2 linked regions of the Saccharomyces cerevisiae S288C genome follow. The protein of the gene in region 2 interacts with the protein of the main gene of each other region in a pairwise test. Each region holds a gene or a part of one and is shown on either strand. Other genes may lie near its edges.

What was found.
Region 1: the proteins of BSC6 (region 2) and EMP70 interact in a protein complementation assay, tested with the Saccharomyces cerevisiae proteins (one large-scale study listed by BioGRID).

What each region holds. Positions count from the first base shown.
Region 1 is NC_001144.5:293,132-297,999, forward strand, and holds EMP70 (Emp70p), read right to left. Parts: upstream 2,964-4,868; coding exon 960-2,963; downstream 1-959. Other genes in the region: SRL2 (Srl2p), read right to left, coding at 1-441; RAX2 (Rax2p), read right to left, coding at 3,458-4,868. UniProt on the Saccharomyces cerevisiae protein: With TMN2 and TMN3, plays a critical role in the late stages of a nutrient-controlled pathway notably regulating FLO11 gene expression. Acts downstream of RAS2 and TOR. Essential for cell adhesion and filamentous growth.
Region 2 is NC_001147.6:63,513-68,041, reverse strand, and holds BSC6 (Bsc6p), read right to left. Parts: upstream 2,422-4,529; coding exon 928-2,421; downstream 1-927. Other genes in the region: PFK27 (6-phosphofructo-2-kinase), read left to right, coding at 1-481; RTC1 (Rtc1p), read left to right, coding at 2,692-4,529. UniProt on the Saccharomyces cerevisiae protein: Probable transporter.

The DNA.
Region 1 (4,868 bases), on a different chromosome or scaffold from region 2:
TTGCCTTGTTTCCGCTTCGTCATTACTGTTTCCCCCCAAGTCTGTGGGGGCTCCAACGTGCAATATGTCGTTGTCAATATCACTAGAAGTATGAGTTTCCACATTCAACTTGGTATTAGTAGTGTTAATTCTTTTATTAAAGCAAATAGTATGTGTAGATTGCAGGAGGTCGAAGCTCTTCGGATTGGCAAAATCAATATTCTGCTCTATAATTTTCACAGGTTTTGTTGGCAGTATTTGTGCAATTCCTGTCATTGAGTTTCTAAATACATTCTTTTGGTCATATTTTGAAGTGCTCTTTTTGCTTTTATGTACTTTTTTTGAAGAGGACGCATTCACATTTGTTACTTCCAATTTCTCTTCCTCCATTTTTGGCGTTTCAGAGGGCTTTCCGTAATAATCTTCAAAGGAATTTAAAGTAAAATTCTTAAAGTTGGACATCCAAAAGGATCTTCACAATATAAGCGTTTTTCTGTCCACCAGCTTCAACAAGCTTCAGCCTACTACCAATTTCTAATACTGTTTTATCTTATTACTTGCTTACTTATCCACTCCCATTGTTTTGTCCTAGATGACAGCATCACCCGGACTGAATATTAAAGCGTCAGTGTCACTTATTTTAAGTCATAATCAAGTCCTTTTAATGTGGCTATAGATTAACCCTGTACACTAAAGCTGTATATTATTTCCTTAAAGGAGCATTTATTCCCAAACTGTAACGCAGAATGTCATTCCAGAATCATGGAAAAAAGATTCAAATAAATAAATGTATATACACCAAAAATTACAACTTCGAATCCTATAGTACTTTTAATCTTTTTGAAAAAAATATTACTAAAAACTATGTATCATGTCCAAAGGCCATAGGGCCTAGCATTTTCTTTGTTAAAAAAGATAAACAGTAGAGAAATAAATAAAAAACGCCCTAACCCAACATATAGGACCTCTTTTTCGTTGGCCTAGTCAACTTTAATGGATGAGTAGATTTTTCTAACAAAGAGCATACTGCTGATAAAGCCAATTGACCCCGTTACCAAACAGCAGAGTAATGAAATGACTGAGGAGTATCCCACGTATAAGACAATAGTCGTGAATCCACCCAACTTAAATTTGGTGAATAAAATAGAATGAATAAACACATACAAAGCACAACCGGCGCCTCCAATTATGAATCCTCTCCATTGCCACTTCCAGTTCTCCAGGCATAAGGAATGATAAGTGATCAAAATAGTGACGAGTGAACTTGTCAAAGTTAATAGGAGGAAAGAGAAAAAGAGGAAACCAAACATGTAAAAAATCTTATTAAACCATAAACTTGTGTATATGAAATACAACTCAACGGCGATGGAGCCAAATGGAAAGATACCAGCAATCAAAGTAGCTGGTATAGTCTTTAAATACCAAGGCTGGAAGGGTATTTGTCTTGCGATTTGGTTTGTCTTGGTTGGATGTTCATCCCAGTGACATCTTTTCCTGGCAATCAATGAACCAGCAAATGATAATGGGATTGAGAACAAAAACCATAGAAAAACCATAAAAAACAGAGTACTTGCTGGTATGACACCAGAAGAATGAACAAACATTAAGAAAAAGTTCAACGCAATAATTATTAGCAGAATAGCACCAGGAACTAGAAGTGGAGTCAATATCAAGTTTGCCTTCCAGTATGGCCCATTGAAAAATTTGTAGATGCCCATAGATGTATAAGAGCCGACAAACCCGAATAATGCATATAAGATAAACATAACAGTGGCTAAGGAACCTCTAGAACTAGGTGATAGGAAACCCAATGCAGCGAAGAAGATACTGCAAGTTACCATCAAAAATAATTGAACTCCTGAACCAACCAAAATTGAAAGGGTTAGCGATTGACTTGGCGAACGAAAAACATCACCATGATTCAATTTCCAACCCGAATCTTCTTGAAAATCATCGTCCAAATTTAACTCGTTGTAACGTGCGAAATCACTTTTCAGTGCGCGCAATAGCGAATGGATAACAACAGATGACAATAAGACAACAACTAAGGAGAAATTTATCAAAGAAAACCATTGAATAGAAGGATCATATACGTGTAAATATTTGTCCCACCTGGTGGCCCAAGAAGTCGCTGATTCATTGAATTTAACGGAATAAGTAAAATAAACTTCATTATCATTTCCTTCGTCTAGCATCAATGGGCTGCCAGTCGTTTCACATGTACCTGGACTGGAACGTTTTATGGAAACCGGTTCGACGATAACACCAACTACACGATAGTTACCTTCACCACGATCGTGATATTCAATCATAATATCGAAATGGTTGGCAAAGTAAGGCAATTCGTAAGTTTTCACCATGTTACGATCATTACGTGTTTCCAATTCCACATCCTTATCGGTGGTTTCTGCCCCTTTTGGAGTAGCCTCAATGTCGGTTCCTTGAGTTACCTGTACAAAACCAAGGTTGAAGCCAGCACCATAAAAACTAGTCTTAGTTCTGCCATCATAAACCTCTCTTGCAGCCGGTAATCCATCAATAAGCCAGTTTTGGAAGAAGCCATTTTTTATCAATTTATTGATGAATTTAGCATCATCTCCCGGAATTACGGTCTTACACAGGGATTCACACTCTTTTTCTTGTAACATATTCAATTGGAATGGTGAATTATAAATTCGATCACCAAATATAACGGATCCCAAGGATTCAGGTTGCTTTTCGACTTTTTCAGGCTGACAAAAATGGAATCTATTGTAATAGTAGTCGTATGAGTACAAGAAATTTTCTTTATCGCCAGAAACGTTATTACCGTCCTCATCTTTGTGTTGATAATTCATTGATGGAGTTAAATGATTAACGAGCAATGGGATGTTGTCATTTTCCCTGTAAGTGGTAGGCGCTACACCTGGTAAATAGAAGGCTTTGACTGTTGACACAAAAAAATACAACAACAAAAGCTGTACGTGTGCCATTTTGTAAATCATTCTGTTTTGTTTTCCTTTCGGTACTTGCTCTCTGCTACTAAATTAATATCTGAAAATATAACGGTAGCAGATGAAGGAAAAGCTGGACAAGGAGCCAAAAATTAACTTAACTAACGTACCAAAAAAAGATACAAATAAAAACAACAAAGCAGTTCAAAAACCTTGAATTACCTTTTTGTTTATCATTAGGCCTATTTCTTCGAACCGATGACATTTTTCATGGCTTCACCAAGTAAAGAAAAATTGCCGTGAAAAAAATTTAAAGGGCTGTAACCCGGACTTTTGTATTATAAGTTAAAATCACTCATTCTCAGGCAGTATTGGTAACATTCCAAGTGACTTCCAATACGTGTTGAATTTACTACTAACATTCCAGTGCAAGTAGTAATTTTTATTAAGTTTTGATCAACTTAGGATTTTCCTATTTTATTTTTGTTTATTATATTAAGTGTTCATTATTTTAAGTAGTTATATATTATATAATACAACCCCGATTAGACAAACTTCATAAGTTTTTCGGGTGGGACGGTATCAAGCATTTCATTCTCATCAATTCGCGGTTTAATGGGCTTATAATCACCCTCTGGATCCTTAAACACGTAGGCAAGAATGACGCCTGCAATACCAAGGACAGAAACTGTCCCTAATGCTAGTGCAAGACCAATTAAAACGACAAAACCACGACCTATTTTCTTCTTCTTCGATTTTGATTTAGATTCACTGCTTGCCGATGAAGATGGAGGCTGGGATGATGTTGACTGAGGACTTGTCACAGTAATGTTCACATTGGCAAGTGGTGACTGAGAGTTGAATTCAGTTGAAACGTCTCTATTAATAAAAATTATTGGATTGTAATTGGAAGTATTTGTTGTTTCTGAAATAAAATATGGGGTCCATTTTTGGAAATCAAACAACAAACTTTGTAGGTATCCGTATTGCGAAATATTAAAATTACCATTAAGTAAGAGGATACTGCCATTATTAACATTGTTGATTCCTCTCTTGTTCAAAGTGTTGGATTCAATATCTGTGTATATAGCTGAAACAGAGCTAATAGAGCTAGCATTGCCAGGTAACGAGGTAATATTCCATTCTTGGTTTCTATAGATAAATAATGAAGTATCATTCCATGCCACTATGGAGTCTTCAGTGACAGTAAACGAATTCAGTTTCCCTTCAGAACCACTCAATAATGGAATCATAGTAGAATTGGTTAAGTTAAAGGATCCTAAACGTATAGATTGGTATTCTTTTGTTTCAAAAAGGCCTGAGATAATTAATTCTGATGAGTTGGTGAAGGAAAGTTGTGTGATTTCACCAAAAATCGTGTTATTGAGGAAGGTAGACCAAGTTTTGCTTTCATAATTGTATAGACATAATCCGGTGCAATTCGGCTCAGTCATTTGGAAATCTCCGCCGACAAGCATACTACAGTTTTTTTCAAAGTTAACTAAAGCATTTATTCTAGCATTTGATCCTAGTGTTTCATTAGCAATCATGGTCAAATTTCTCAAATCAAAAATCGACAGTTCTGCTGTGGTTGAAGATCCTGCACTGACAGCTAGTAAAGTTTGATTATCAGCGTATAGCATTTGAGTAATACCGCTAGACCAATTCCAGGAAGGATAAACTTCATTAGAAAAATAAATTTTGTTTAGAGAATCCACCTCATATGCATATGCCGTGGCAGACTCATTTAAATAAGCTCCCAGGTAAGGTACAATACCCCCTTCTAGGTTAAGTGGCTCTATTTCATTTTCGTTCAAAAAACGTACAGACCCATTCAAATTACCATATTGCATATGAGATACTGCACCTGAAAACAAAACATCGCCATCGCCATTGTTACCAGCCGCCCAAAGTGATAGACTAAAGGAACTGGAGTTCCGTATAAGCGCATTGGAA
Region 2 (4,529 bases):
AAGCTTTATCAAATACAATATCCACAATAAATCGTTTAATGAAGACTACTTAGACAAACCTTATGAACTTGCCATCAAAGATTTTGCAAAGAGATTAAAACATTACTATTCGCAGTTTACACCTTTCTCCCTTGATGAGTTCAATCAAATCCATCGATATATCAGCCAACATGAAGAAATCGATACGAGCTTATTTTTCTTCAATGTTATTAATGCGGGCGTCGTTGAGCCACATTCTTTAAATCAAAGTCATTACCCTTCAACCTGCGGCAAGCAAATTAGGGACACCATTATGGTTATTGAAAATTTCATCAATCACTATTCTCAGATGTTTGGTTTTGAATACATCGAAGCTGTTAAATTGTTTTTTGAAAGTTTTGGAAATAGCTCAGAGGAAACTTTAACTACACTAGACTCTGTTGTTAATGATAAATTTTTTGATGATTTGCAGAGCCTAATTGAAAGCAACGGATTTGCTTGACTGATACTTTACCATACGGGAGTTGAATATCGGTACTCCTTTATTATATTTATGATCCTCTCCAGAACTCCATCTACCTCCCGCCTTTTAATGACCATTTTTACGACCTTTTCGCATGTTTTTCTATTCTTTTACAGTTTCCTTGGTACCGCTAGTTACATTATGTTATCTTGAAAAGGCTACTATACACTTTTTTTGCACTACTGAAGCAGCTTTCAAAAGCTCTTTATAGACTTCAGATAGTATTACTTTTTCCTTAAAATTCTATCTATTTGTAAACGACCAAGAGTGTCATTATGTATACTATATATCAAAAAGTTCCATATGTTGTCTGAAGTTCCTTTTATCTTCCGCCTTTCTATCTTTCTGTTACAATTATTCAACAGCTTTATTTTTCTAATTTTGGAATTAGTTGCAATGCACTGGCACCGATGGCGTTTCTGAAACTAAAAATATTCTTCATGCCCTTTTATGAATTTAGGATACAATGTCCATTCCAATGTAAATAACGCAACCATAATCCAACACAATAGTGGGATATACTGGATTCCCACTGTGTGTGCAATAACTCCAGCCAAATATGGAATGGCTGCACCACCACAACCACCAACGGCGACGGCAACCCCAACCCCGCTCACATGTAGTCTTTTGGGCAATACTTGTAATGCAACTATACTTGCGTTTGGGAATAATGGTCCGATAAACGTACCACAACAAAAAACAACAAAAAATAACACGACGAAATAGAAAACTGAGCTTGAATTGATCAACCCAACAAGCACAAATAAGGTGTATGAAGATAGAGTTAAAAAAGCGTACGCTTTGCTTGCTTTATACTCGTTTTCGAAGAATCTTTCAGTAACAAATCCTAGACACAACCTGCCTACAGTCAAACCTGTCCAAAACGATGCCGCTATGTATGACATAGCAACCTTATTACTTGATTTAGTTTCCAATAAATAACTAAAGAACCATGAACCAGTTGTAATTTCAGCACCTAAGTAAAGGAACAAATACAATGAGTACAAGAAAATAGCAGGATTTCTTAAAAGTTCAAAAAATCCTGGGCTCGCCTTGGTAGATTCCATCAGCGAGTTATCACCCGCTTCTTCCACATCATTGTTGCTTTCTTTGTTTTCCACAGAGCAGAGGTAGTCGTATTTACTTGCAGTTTCAAATTTAAAAGCTGGGAAGATTACAATCATGCCTATTATAGAAAAGAACAGAGGAATAAGGAAAAAAAGAGACCAATGACCCCATTCAACAAAATATGAAACTAAGGGAGGAGTAACCATAGCTGCTGCCCCGTAAAGACCATGCATGATACCCATGAGTTCATTCTTATGGACTAAAAGACTGCCCATTAAAACATTACCGGTAGAATCTAAGATGCCGATCCCTAAACCAAGAGGAAGGCCACAAAACATACAAACATAGAAACTAGAAGGTGCAGTTGCTAAAATGATAAGAAATACTATACACAAACCAGCTGCTAGAAGCATACCACCTCTCATACCAAAGTGCTTATTCAATCTCTCTTTTGATAAAGACGCCATCACATAACCACATAATTGGACTATAAATACGTTTGAGACATCTACCCGCGATATATGATAGTATTCAATTAGCGTAGGAAGTAGTGCACCTACTGTTTGATCGTTCATACCAAAGACTACGAACATAATCAAGCATGCTATCACCTGCAGCTTTACTAGTGGTACAGTTTGATAGTTTAGTGGATATGTTTTAACTTTCTCGCCCTGCCAGTCAATTTCTTTGATTAAGTTTGTATTGTTAGGTAGACTATCTTCATCTTGAGAATTTCTTCTGGAGTCTGATGATGATAGCAGATTTTTCAACTCTATTGGGTTATGATGTGAAATTTCAGTTGTATACATTCCATAATCATCTACCTTTGGTGGAACCGAGGAAGCATCCATGCTGAAAACTTATATATGGATTAAATTATACTATGAATCCCTAGGATCTTATTCTTGGTTTCTTACTATAGCATTTTAGAATACTGTTGAATGTCTAGCTATGCATGATCGGAGAGTTTAAATTTTTCTGTCTCGGAACGTTCTTTTTAATTTGTCAAAAACATCGATATATAACGATGATTACTGAAAAAGGAAAACCGATTGATAATACATATGGTGCGATTGCTGGCTGAAGGCGAGTGAGCTATTGAGTGGATTTAGTTGAAAATCATGAGCTTATCACCACACGTAGAAAATGCTTCCATTCCCAAGGGGAGTACCCCGATACCAAAAAACAGAAACGTTAGTTCTATAGGCAAGGGCGAGTTTCTTGGATCTTCGTCAAGCAACAATTCTTCTTTTCGAATGAATCATTACTCAAATAGTGGACAACCTTCCGTGTTAGATTCTATACGGCGACCTAATCTAACTCCAACTTTTTCTTACAGTAATGGGGTTTATATGCCTGAAAGTCACAGAACTAGTTCATTCAACGATAGTTATTTGCCATATGATAAGAATCCTTACGCAAAAACAACCGGAAGCATGAGCAATAAATCGAACATGAAAATCAAAACAAAGAAAAATGCAATCAACACAAATACAAGAAAGTCGTCTGGACTCATTTACACCACCAAAGTGGATAAAGAATTATCTAGTATAGACAAAGTGAATGATCCAAACATTAACGGTCTTGTTTGTGCAGGTAAAACTCATTTGGGGCTCTATAAATTCTCGCCCTCAGATAGATCTATCAAATGCGTTCATGATTTCATAACACCTAATAGCAACACCTCAACAAGGGGAACGACATCCCTTTTGCCCAAGCTGAGCAAAAGAACAAGACAGAACAAATTTAGTACCATTGCGGATGTTAAGACTGGATTTAATAATTACAAGAACTGTATTGCAGTGTGCAACAATTCTACGGCGATATCGATATATGATCTCAATAAGAGTTCCTCGATAGACAATCCCTTGATAACATCCTTATGCGAACACACTAGATCTATCAATAGTTTTGACTTCAACATGGTCGAATCAAACCTAATAATAAGTGGTGGACAAGATAGTTGTGTAAAAATATGGGATTTACGTTCCAATAAATCTAAAAGCTCAAATAGATCTGACATTAGTATAAATACCGCATCTGACTCAATCAGAGATGTAAAATGGATGCCCGGTTACAATTTTGCATCTAAGAACGATCAAGGTTCATCAACGTATGGTAATTTAAAAAGCGGTTACAAATTTGCTTCTATTCACGATTCGGGATACTTGCTAAAGTTTGATCTTCGACAACCTGCCCAATACGAAAAAAAATTAAATGCTCACACAGGACCCGGTCTTTGTTTAAATTGGCATCCCAATCAAGAATACATTGCTACAGGTGGTAGAGACGGTAAATGCTGCCTCTGGTTTGTTGGCGACAATGCCAATGCCGCCGAAAATACAGTCCTCAATTACGGGAACTCTCCCTCGTTACATGCCCCCAATACGTCCTTGAACAATAGCGGCTCGCTGGCATTTCCCAAACTAACAATTAATACGGGCTATCCAGTCACTAAATTGAAGTTCAAGCCTGCTTATAGTAGTAATATATATAATTCATTACTAGGAATATCGTCAATGGGTGACGAAGCTGAAGTTCGCATCTATTCCTTGGCAAGAAAGTACATTCCAAAACATGTTCTCCTATCAGAAACGCCTTCTTTAGGATTAGTATGGTGGGACGAAAACTTGATCTTTAATATCGATAAGGGGACCCGTATAAATGGCTGGGACATTAACAAAGAACCAACAGTGCTCGAAAATTTGAGCAAAAATACAACAACTTGGAGAGATTTGGATGGTAACGGTTTACTTTCAGTTGACCAAGAGATAGGCTCATATGAGGTGGTAGAACCGGAGCTTCAACCTACCTCAAGTACCACATGCAAGAAGCATCCAGGTACAATAAAAAACCCGAAGAATGGCAATCCAGAGAACCAGGGAATAATTGGAGGGATAAAAAAAGGATTTAGCCATACTGGATTAACAAGTTTTACGCCAGAGAGGCCGCCTACTTT